2 linked regions of the Tribolium castaneum genome follow. The protein of the gene in region 1 binds, or shares a complex with, the protein of each later gene. Links are inferred from orthologs where the notes say so. Each region holds a gene or a part of one and is shown on either strand. Other genes may lie near its edges.

The links. Proteins that work in one complex are often made in the same cells at the same time.
Region 2: nuclear pore complex protein Nup93 (region 1) and Nup54 share a complex: the UniProt entries of both Homo sapiens proteins name them as parts of the p62 complex. The link is inferred for Tribolium castaneum from reciprocal best matches to the Homo sapiens genes NUP93 and NUP54.

What each region holds. Positions count from the first base shown.
Region 1 is NC_087398.1:8,838,562-8,842,614, forward strand, and holds the start of nuclear pore complex protein Nup93, read left to right. Parts: upstream 1-1,242; 5' UTR 1,243-1,390; intron 1,391-1,519; 5' UTR 1,520-1,529; coding exon 1,530-1,693; intron 1,694-1,756; coding exon 1,757-1,937; intron 1,938-1,989; coding exon 1,990-2,280; intron 2,281-2,358; coding exon 2,359-2,501; intron 2,502-2,557; coding exon 2,558-3,077; intron 3,078-3,258; coding exon 3,259-3,472; intron 3,473-3,520; coding exon 3,521-3,891; intron 3,892-3,939; coding exon 3,940-4,053. Other genes in the region: vari (protein PALS2), read right to left, coding at 622-745. UniProt on the Homo sapiens protein: Plays a role in the nuclear pore complex (NPC) assembly and/or maintenance. May anchor nucleoporins, but not NUP153 and TPR, to the NPC. During renal development, regulates podocyte migration and proliferation through SMAD4 signaling.
Region 2 is NC_087397.1:2,066,923-2,070,888, forward strand, and holds the start of Nup54 (probable nucleoporin Nup54), read right to left. Parts: upstream 2,803-3,966; 5' UTR 2,703-2,802; coding exon 2,645-2,702; intron 2,189-2,644; exon of another isoform or gene 1,513-2,188; intron 1,463-1,512; exon of another isoform or gene 719-1,462; coding exon 1-718. Other genes in the region: sra (protein sarah), read left to right, coding at 3,199-3,391, 3,437-3,909. UniProt on the Homo sapiens protein: Component of the nuclear pore complex, a complex required for the trafficking across the nuclear membrane.

The DNA of each region.
Region 1 (4,053 bases):
AGTAATAAAATTATTTATTACGATGTGCGCGATAACCGAAAAAGCTCTTGCCGTTCTTTTCAGGATCGCGGTAGATGCTGAAATGTCTGCGCTTACAGTGTACTGATCTTTCAGCAGTGGCGATTCTAGTCTGCGTTGCTATAGATACATCCTGAAGCATGCTTTCAGGCCCGGACTTATAATGGAATTAAAACTTAATAACTGATATGATATGTGGTAGTATTTACTTTCAATTAACATTAGCATCGTACATGTTAGTTTTAAGCAGTTATGTAATTATATTCTAAATGTCTGCTGATGTACATTAAATCAATTCAGAGAGCACATTCAATGTTTATTATAAATTTAAGAACAATTTTAAGACACTATCCACCTTTAAAAAATGGCATTGTGTTAAACAAAGCAAAATTATTTGAGAAGTATTTCTTTAACACATTTCTCTTATTACGAATAATATTAGGCATACCTGCACTGGATGCTAACTGTTGATTAGGTGATTGAAAAAACGAATAAATCCCACAGTGGCATAAAACTGACTCGATAATAATAAAATATTGATAGAACACACCAATATGTTAACTTAATTTAAAATATTGAATAGTTATGGTCAGTGGCATTTACCTAATGCTGAAAAATCCGTAGAAGTGCAGCTTCTTTTCACAACCCTTTTACACTGAAATGCCGGTTGGTGATTCTTAATGAAAGGTCTACATCCCCATTTAATTGCATAACAGGTGCGCACCATCGTTAAAAAACTTTACAGCACAATACAAGTCTATTCTGCTATTTATAAATGTTACTTAATAAATAATCGATAAAGAAAGAATACACGTTTTAAGGATGTTAAGCCATTCTATTAACAAAACATTTCAATTTCGCGACGTCTGTTTCATCAGAGTACGGCGTTAATAATAGAAAGAACGAACTCGCAACTGGAAAAAGCGTCAGGTGAAGCTTCACCCACGCATTACCTTGCTATCTGGACGAATTATCGATAAAGCTGGAACAGCTTTCAAAGTGATTTCCAGCACGACATCGACGCTCTATTTTATGTTTACGGTTTATGTTACAATAAATCGATAAAAATTTAGTTGTATTATACGAAAACAAAACTAAGAAATATACATTAGAAGATATGATTCCGAAAACTGAAAAACAAAACGAACTTGGGGATTTGTTCAGTTTCAGTGCGTCGGCAATCAGAATCACTGAAACTGAAATCGTAAATTTTGGGTTGCCTATATGTGCTGAAACTAGCTGAAAAAGTGTATTTTGGGTTACATAAGCAGCATCGTTTTTAACCGTTGCATGTTTGTAGCGGCATTTTTTACAAGAATTACAAAAGTTCACGAAAATACGTTTTAAATTGTGTGTTTGAACATCAATTCAAGTAGGTTTTTGCCGATAAATTGCTTCTTGTTATGAAATACATCAATTTTATGTATTTTTGAAGGTTATATTGTTGTCCTAACCCAACTTTTAGTTTCTTGTTTTTGATTATTTTTTCCAACATTTTTAGAAATATCAACATGGGCGACTTTGCCGACCTCCTCCAGGAGGCTGAAAAAATCACTGTTGACATTGAAGGGAGTAAAGAACTGCCAAAAGTTGATAGATCTATTCGGCAGGTCTTGGAAGCTTCTAACGATTTATATTCAAAAGTGGCTCAAACTGGAGCAAAGGACATTCAAGCGTATGTCTTTGACTTATTCACTGTTAACAGAATTAAATATAACGTGGACGTAACAAATTTCAGGAATTTATTGTTAGGATCAAAAGGCGTAGACTTGCCAAAAATAATACAAAAATTGGAATCAATTAGTACCAAGCGCACATTCGAATCCATTGAGCCGGTTGAGGACGTAAATGCAGTCGGAATTCTTGAAAATGAAATCCAAAACTGCATTTTGAGTGTATTTGAAAACGGTTTCAATAAAGTAATCCATACGTGGTTCCCAAAGTGTACATACGCATAATTACATATTGTAGTGCATGAAAACAATTTCCGACTGCTCTTGGGAACACCAAACTGGCGAATGGAAACAAGAAAAACGAAAAATCCTAAATTCGATGCTGGGACCATCTGGGGCTTTCATAGAAATTGGAAAATATTCATCCGTTTTTATGGAGAGGCCTATTTCTATTACCCCCAACTTAGGAGTGGCAGAGACTCTCTATGCCGCCAAGATTATGGAATACAATCAAGCAATTGGCAGGAGCATTCAGAAGCCAAGTCTCATAAACAGCTTCATCAGCGTGGCAAATGACTTGAGAGACGCCGTAAGTTTTTGCCTCATTTTGATATCAGACAAAATTTTAATGACAACATACAGTCGTTCTTAAGCTTAAAAATTTCAGAAAGTTAAAGACATGTGGGAAATAATGAAATACATGACTCAGTTGCCGCCGTTTCCTCAGTCAGAGGATCAGATTAAAACTCGAAATTCTGCCCCTTTCATAAACGCTTTGGTGAAACAAGGCAAGAAATATCTGGAAGATCGGTAATTTATTTTTCTAATTCAATGAAAAAAGACCACAATTAGGTAAATAATTCTAGATATAAGACGTATATGAGTAACATCATTAACGAAAACCTATCAACTGCGATGCTTGGGGGAGTTCCCGGAACTTATCCCTTAGTCCGCAGTTACGTCGGTGTTCGCCTCCAAGGCGAATATTCGGGCTTGAAAGATGACAAAATCGATGGAAGGCCTTTATGGCCCATGGTCTACTACTGTATAAGGAGCGGAGATTTAGCAGCAGCAATTTATTGTCTAAAGAAGAAAAACGAAAAAGAGTTTCAAGACATTGTTGCTATTTTGGAAGCAAAACTCAATAATCCTGACAGTCCAGATATTTACAAACTGGAGGATAATGTGCGCTACAATTATCGCAGACATGTACGTAACGAAACTGACCCTTTTAAGCGTATCGTCTGTGCGGTGCTTGGCTGTTGCGATGTCGTTGATGAGCATTCGGAAGTCGCCAGAACCGCGGACGATTATTTATGGTTGAAATTGAGCTTAGTGAGAGCTGATTACGAAAAGGACGACCACATTAAGTACAACGACCTGCAGGTGTGTACACTATTTACTTTACCCAACACGTTTATTAGTTATTGTATGCAACAATTATTGTTATTTGCATTACTATGTCCAATACTTTCAAGAAAAAGTTATTTGTTTTCAATTTTTACGTAACATTTAGTTGTTAACGCTCGTATGTGTTTCCCACATTACGTAATACACTATTCCTTAGCGGATGATTTTGGAAGAGTATGGTGAAGCTCATTATGACGCCATGAACCAACCCCACTTATATTTCCAAGTGCTCGCATTAACCGGTCAATTTGAGGCCGCTATTGAATTTTTGCCCCGAATTGAGAGGTACCGAGTTCATGCTGTCCATATGGCCATTGCCTTGAACGAGTTGTACTTATTGGCTGGCTCACGGGACAGTTCAGCACCACTTAGTATGTAAAAGTTTTTGCGATTGTTTGTTTACTTATGATTTTTATTAGTTAGTATTGACCCAATGGATGTGAAACCAAGTCGCCGCTTGAACCTGGCGCGTTTAATTATGATTTATGTTCGCAAATTTGAAATAACTTGTCCTAATGAGGCGTTGCACTACTTTTATATCTTGCGCAATTTTACCAATGAGGATGGAGTGAATTTGTTCAAGATTTGTGTGTGTGATCTGGCTATTGAAACCAAGGAGTACAACAAGATTTTGGGGGTCATTCAGCCCAATGATATAAGAACCAAAGGGCTGATCGACCAGTTTACTAACGCTGAAATCAGTGCGGAAAACATTGCTCAAATGATTGGCGATTCTTTGGTAAAGAAGGGATTATTCGAGGAAGCAATAGATGTGTTTGATTTGGCTGATGTGAGTGATACTTTAATAAACAAATATCGTGTTAATATTTTTTTACAGAATCAAGAGGAGGTTTTGAATTTATTTTGCACTTTGCTGTCACAAGTGGTTCATTTGCCTTCTCAACCAAACTCTCTGAAGGAGAGATTGTTGGAGAAGGGAAATATTTTGAGC
Region 2 (3,966 bases), on another chromosome or scaffold:
CCAAACCCGCCCCCAAACAAACTCCCTTGTGTCTGTTGACCGAACCCTCCACTAGTCCCAAAACCCCCAAACCCCCCTGTTGTTTGCGTAGCCCCAAACCCCCCAAACAACGACGGCGCACTCGTCGTAGTAGTACCCCCGAATAAACCAAACCCTCCCCCTGTTGTACTCCCCCCAAACAGCCCCCCCGAAGTGGTGGCCGTGCCCCCGAACGAAGTCCCGAATAAACTCGGGGCCGAAGTTGTCGCAGTACCGAACAAACTCGGAGCTGGGGTACTGCCAGCTCCGAATAAACTAGGAGTCGAGGTGGTGACCCCCCCGAAAAGACTTGGGGCTTGTGTGGTGGTACCGCTCCCGAATAAACTGGGGGCCGAACTAGGGGTCGAAAATAACGAGGTTGAAGTGGTGGGAGTTCCGAAAAGGGTTGGTTTGGTTGTGGAAGTACCGAAAAGGCCGCCGCCGGTCGATTGACCGAAGCCGGTACCGAATGTCGGGGCTGAGGTTGATGCTGGGGCTCCGAAAGTCGAACCAAATGCTGGAGTGGAAGTTGCAGGAGTACCGAAAGTACTACCGAAACCTGAAGATTGAGCTGGGGCTCCGAAAGTTGAGCCGAAACCGGTCGACGGCTGCGAAGTGGCTCCGAAGGAAGAGCCGAAACTGCCGAAGCCGGTACTAGCCGTGGTGGTGGTTACCCCAAATGGGGTACCGAATGCGGTGGCTGTGGATAAACATTGGAAAAACATAAAACTATGACTAGGTGTTTACAAAAATTAATAAATAATCTAAGACGATAAGAAGTGTGCGTTTTAATTCAGGAAAAATCGAATAAATTGAATAAATTCAGCGAAATTTGTAGTTTTCCAAAGGAAATGGCTACGAAACCACAATCCTGAAATTATTTATTTTTCTATTTGGGTTGTTTCAACGAAAAGAAAAGAATTTCCATGAAAAAAGTATTTGTTACGGGGAAATGACCAAACGGAAACTACTCCTCGGTAAAAAATGCAAGTCAAACTTGAACTATGCGAATACTTATCGTGCAAAAAATACGCTGTTGTTAAGACTTAAATTTATGCAAAAACGAAATAAACACGAAATAAATGAAATTATTTCAATCCTTCAAGTGTCATTCCAGTCAAATTTTTTAAAAAGAATTTAAACACGTAGATAATTTCAAAACAAGTTTTTTTCGACTGCAGTGCCGCTTTCCCAATTTGTTATCACAAAATGACGGATTTTATTTATCCCAACCACAAGAAATTGCATTAAACAGCATTTTGTGACTCATCCCCGGGTTGTTATTTTACTGCGAATGGAAGGAAAGCAGGAAAACCGTGTTCGCACATATAAACACCAGCGATAAAAATTCAAAGCGTGGAAAGAAACTTTCAGTCGCCGATAAGTTCTTGCAGAGTTAAGTGTTTTTCCTTCGCTAATAAAAAGCACAATGTCGGGCCCTACGGTGAGTTTAATTTTTATTTTTCAAGTTGGATTTAAAAATTCCGATTCTAGCTATTCTCATTTCCTATCAAAGGGGCTACTAAAAGTTTTGGAACGACCCTTCAAGTCACAGACGATCAAAACGTACTCAAAATTGGGCAGAGTTTCACTCCCCCAGCTACTACCCTCATCAGCGAAATAACCAACAGTACGGTTACTGCAGAAACTGCTACCACTCCTGAGATTTCTCAAAATATTACAACAACGATTACCACCGTGATAACCGAAGTGACCGACAGTACGACCGAAACAATCGGTATTTTTGAAAACAACATCACTTCAGCAGTGGCCGAAATAAAAAACAGTACACAAAATACAACTTCAACCCCACTTGACGTATTTTCTTCAACTACGGATGTTTCGAACCAAATATATTACGAAGGATACGACGTTGAGGGAAAAACTTTGTACGTTGTTTTGGGAGTTATAATCGTCAGTCTGCTCTTAATTATCGTCATTCTTATCGTCGTTTATAAGCGATATAAAGCCAGCCGTTCAGGATCGCTTGATTGTGCAACCGATTTGAGCCAAGTTACCATCTCAAACGGAAGAATGAAATCGTATTAATTATATTTGTGATAATCTGTTATATTTTACTATCATTATATTTTTGTTACTCGCTTAGGTAGGTTTATTTATATCCTCAAAATGTTATTGCCGAAATAAATTCTTGGTTTATAAATTATAATCTAGGTTTTTTATTGAACACGTCCAGTTTTTCATGTTTTATCAGTTAAGTAATGAAATTACTTTTGTGTACTGTGCAGCACAGACGTGACAAAAAATTTAAGTTAAACACTAAACAAAACATTTTTTAGCGATTTGTTTCAAACAAAAATTGTTGAATTGTTACTCACACGTTAACAATCATCACAATTAAATTTTATAACCATTTAAAACACCAATTAACATTTTATCTGTAAAAAGTGTGGTGATTTGTATTGTTGAGTCTGAATGGTACAAAACGCTGCCACTTTTTCGATTTTTTCTGGTTAAAAATTAAGAACACAAACATTAGTCAGGCGTTTTGGGCAAAATTAAATCTCATTAATTACGGTTTAAAGGGAAAATAAATAAAACCGTGAATACCAAATAACAAAATAGAAAGAACTTAACCTAACTTTCTTACGGTTCTAAAACTTACGTTTATTTGCCGGGCTTCCAAAAGTCGACTGGTTTGCATTTCCGAACGAAAATGCCATAACTGCATTAAATTTAACGTTAGTATTTATATAAAAATAGTAATTACAATTTTTTATGTATTCACAAATTGAACTTAACGAATTGACAGAACTGTCAAACTTCAAACCTAGGTTATACACCGGCAATTTCACAAAATTTCAGCGTTTTCTGTACAAAAAAATACGAAATCAAAAAGTCGCTCATGTGTTTATGTTAATTATCTGGAAATCTATCCATTTCAGGGTTTTACGTTTTTTTAAGCTCATTCCTTTGTATTTCAATTCGGGCTGGCGAACTTTCGGCTTTCATCCCCTTGTCAAGTGTCATTCATTCCTGACATTTGGCATTTGCAATTGTTGGGTTGTGTTTTTTGCACTTTGATATTGCAATGTTTTTGTGTTAAAATTTAGTAGCGTAAGAGTTAGCCTTGATTAGTTTAGCCGAAAAAGTGCGCATTGTTTTATGGGGTTTAAACCGCGGTAGATCCTGTGTCGGTGAATTTAATCCAATTTTTCAATGGCTGAAAGCAACGGCGAAATGGACGACGATATCATCATTAACGACCAAGACGGCCTTCCCAACGTGCACCCCAACCTGCTGGCGGAGGCCGACATCGACAGCCCCGAGCATGTGACCGACGACGAGTTCGAGGACCTGCCGACGTCCCTCATCGTCACCAACATCCACGACAGTGTCTTCACCTCGCCCGGTAATCCGCCCCCAGCCCTCACCCGATCTGACCGTAAAATTGCAGAGAAAAAGCGCGAAATGGAGAACCTGTTCCGGAACTTCGACCCGGACGTGACATTCCAGTGGCTGCGCAGTTTCCGAAGACTGAGAGTGAACTTCCAGACGCCCGTGGCAGCCGCCAGCGCCCGCATTCAGCTCCACCAATACAAAATCAACGACTCAGTGATTACGTGTTACTTTGCTCAACCCGTCACCCCCGTCAAAAACCCCAGCCTGCAGCCGCCAGCCCCCTTCAAGCAGTTCCTAATCTCGCCGCCGGCGTCGCCCCCCCTCGACTGGGAGCCCCGGCCGGAAGGTGAGCCCATTATCAATCATGACCTTCTTGCAGCTTTGGCCACCCTCACGCCGGGGGCGTCGCACGAGGTGCACCCCCCCTCCCCCGGCCAGCCCAGCATCGTGGTGCACACGGCCCTGGGGGCGGACGGCGTGGGGGCCAAAGGCAGGATGCCACAGACGTCGTGTCCGGAACGGAGTTAATGATTTGTACAGGTCTTCAAGGTTATTTTAAGTGTGAGCTTCAGAGCCTCTCAATAT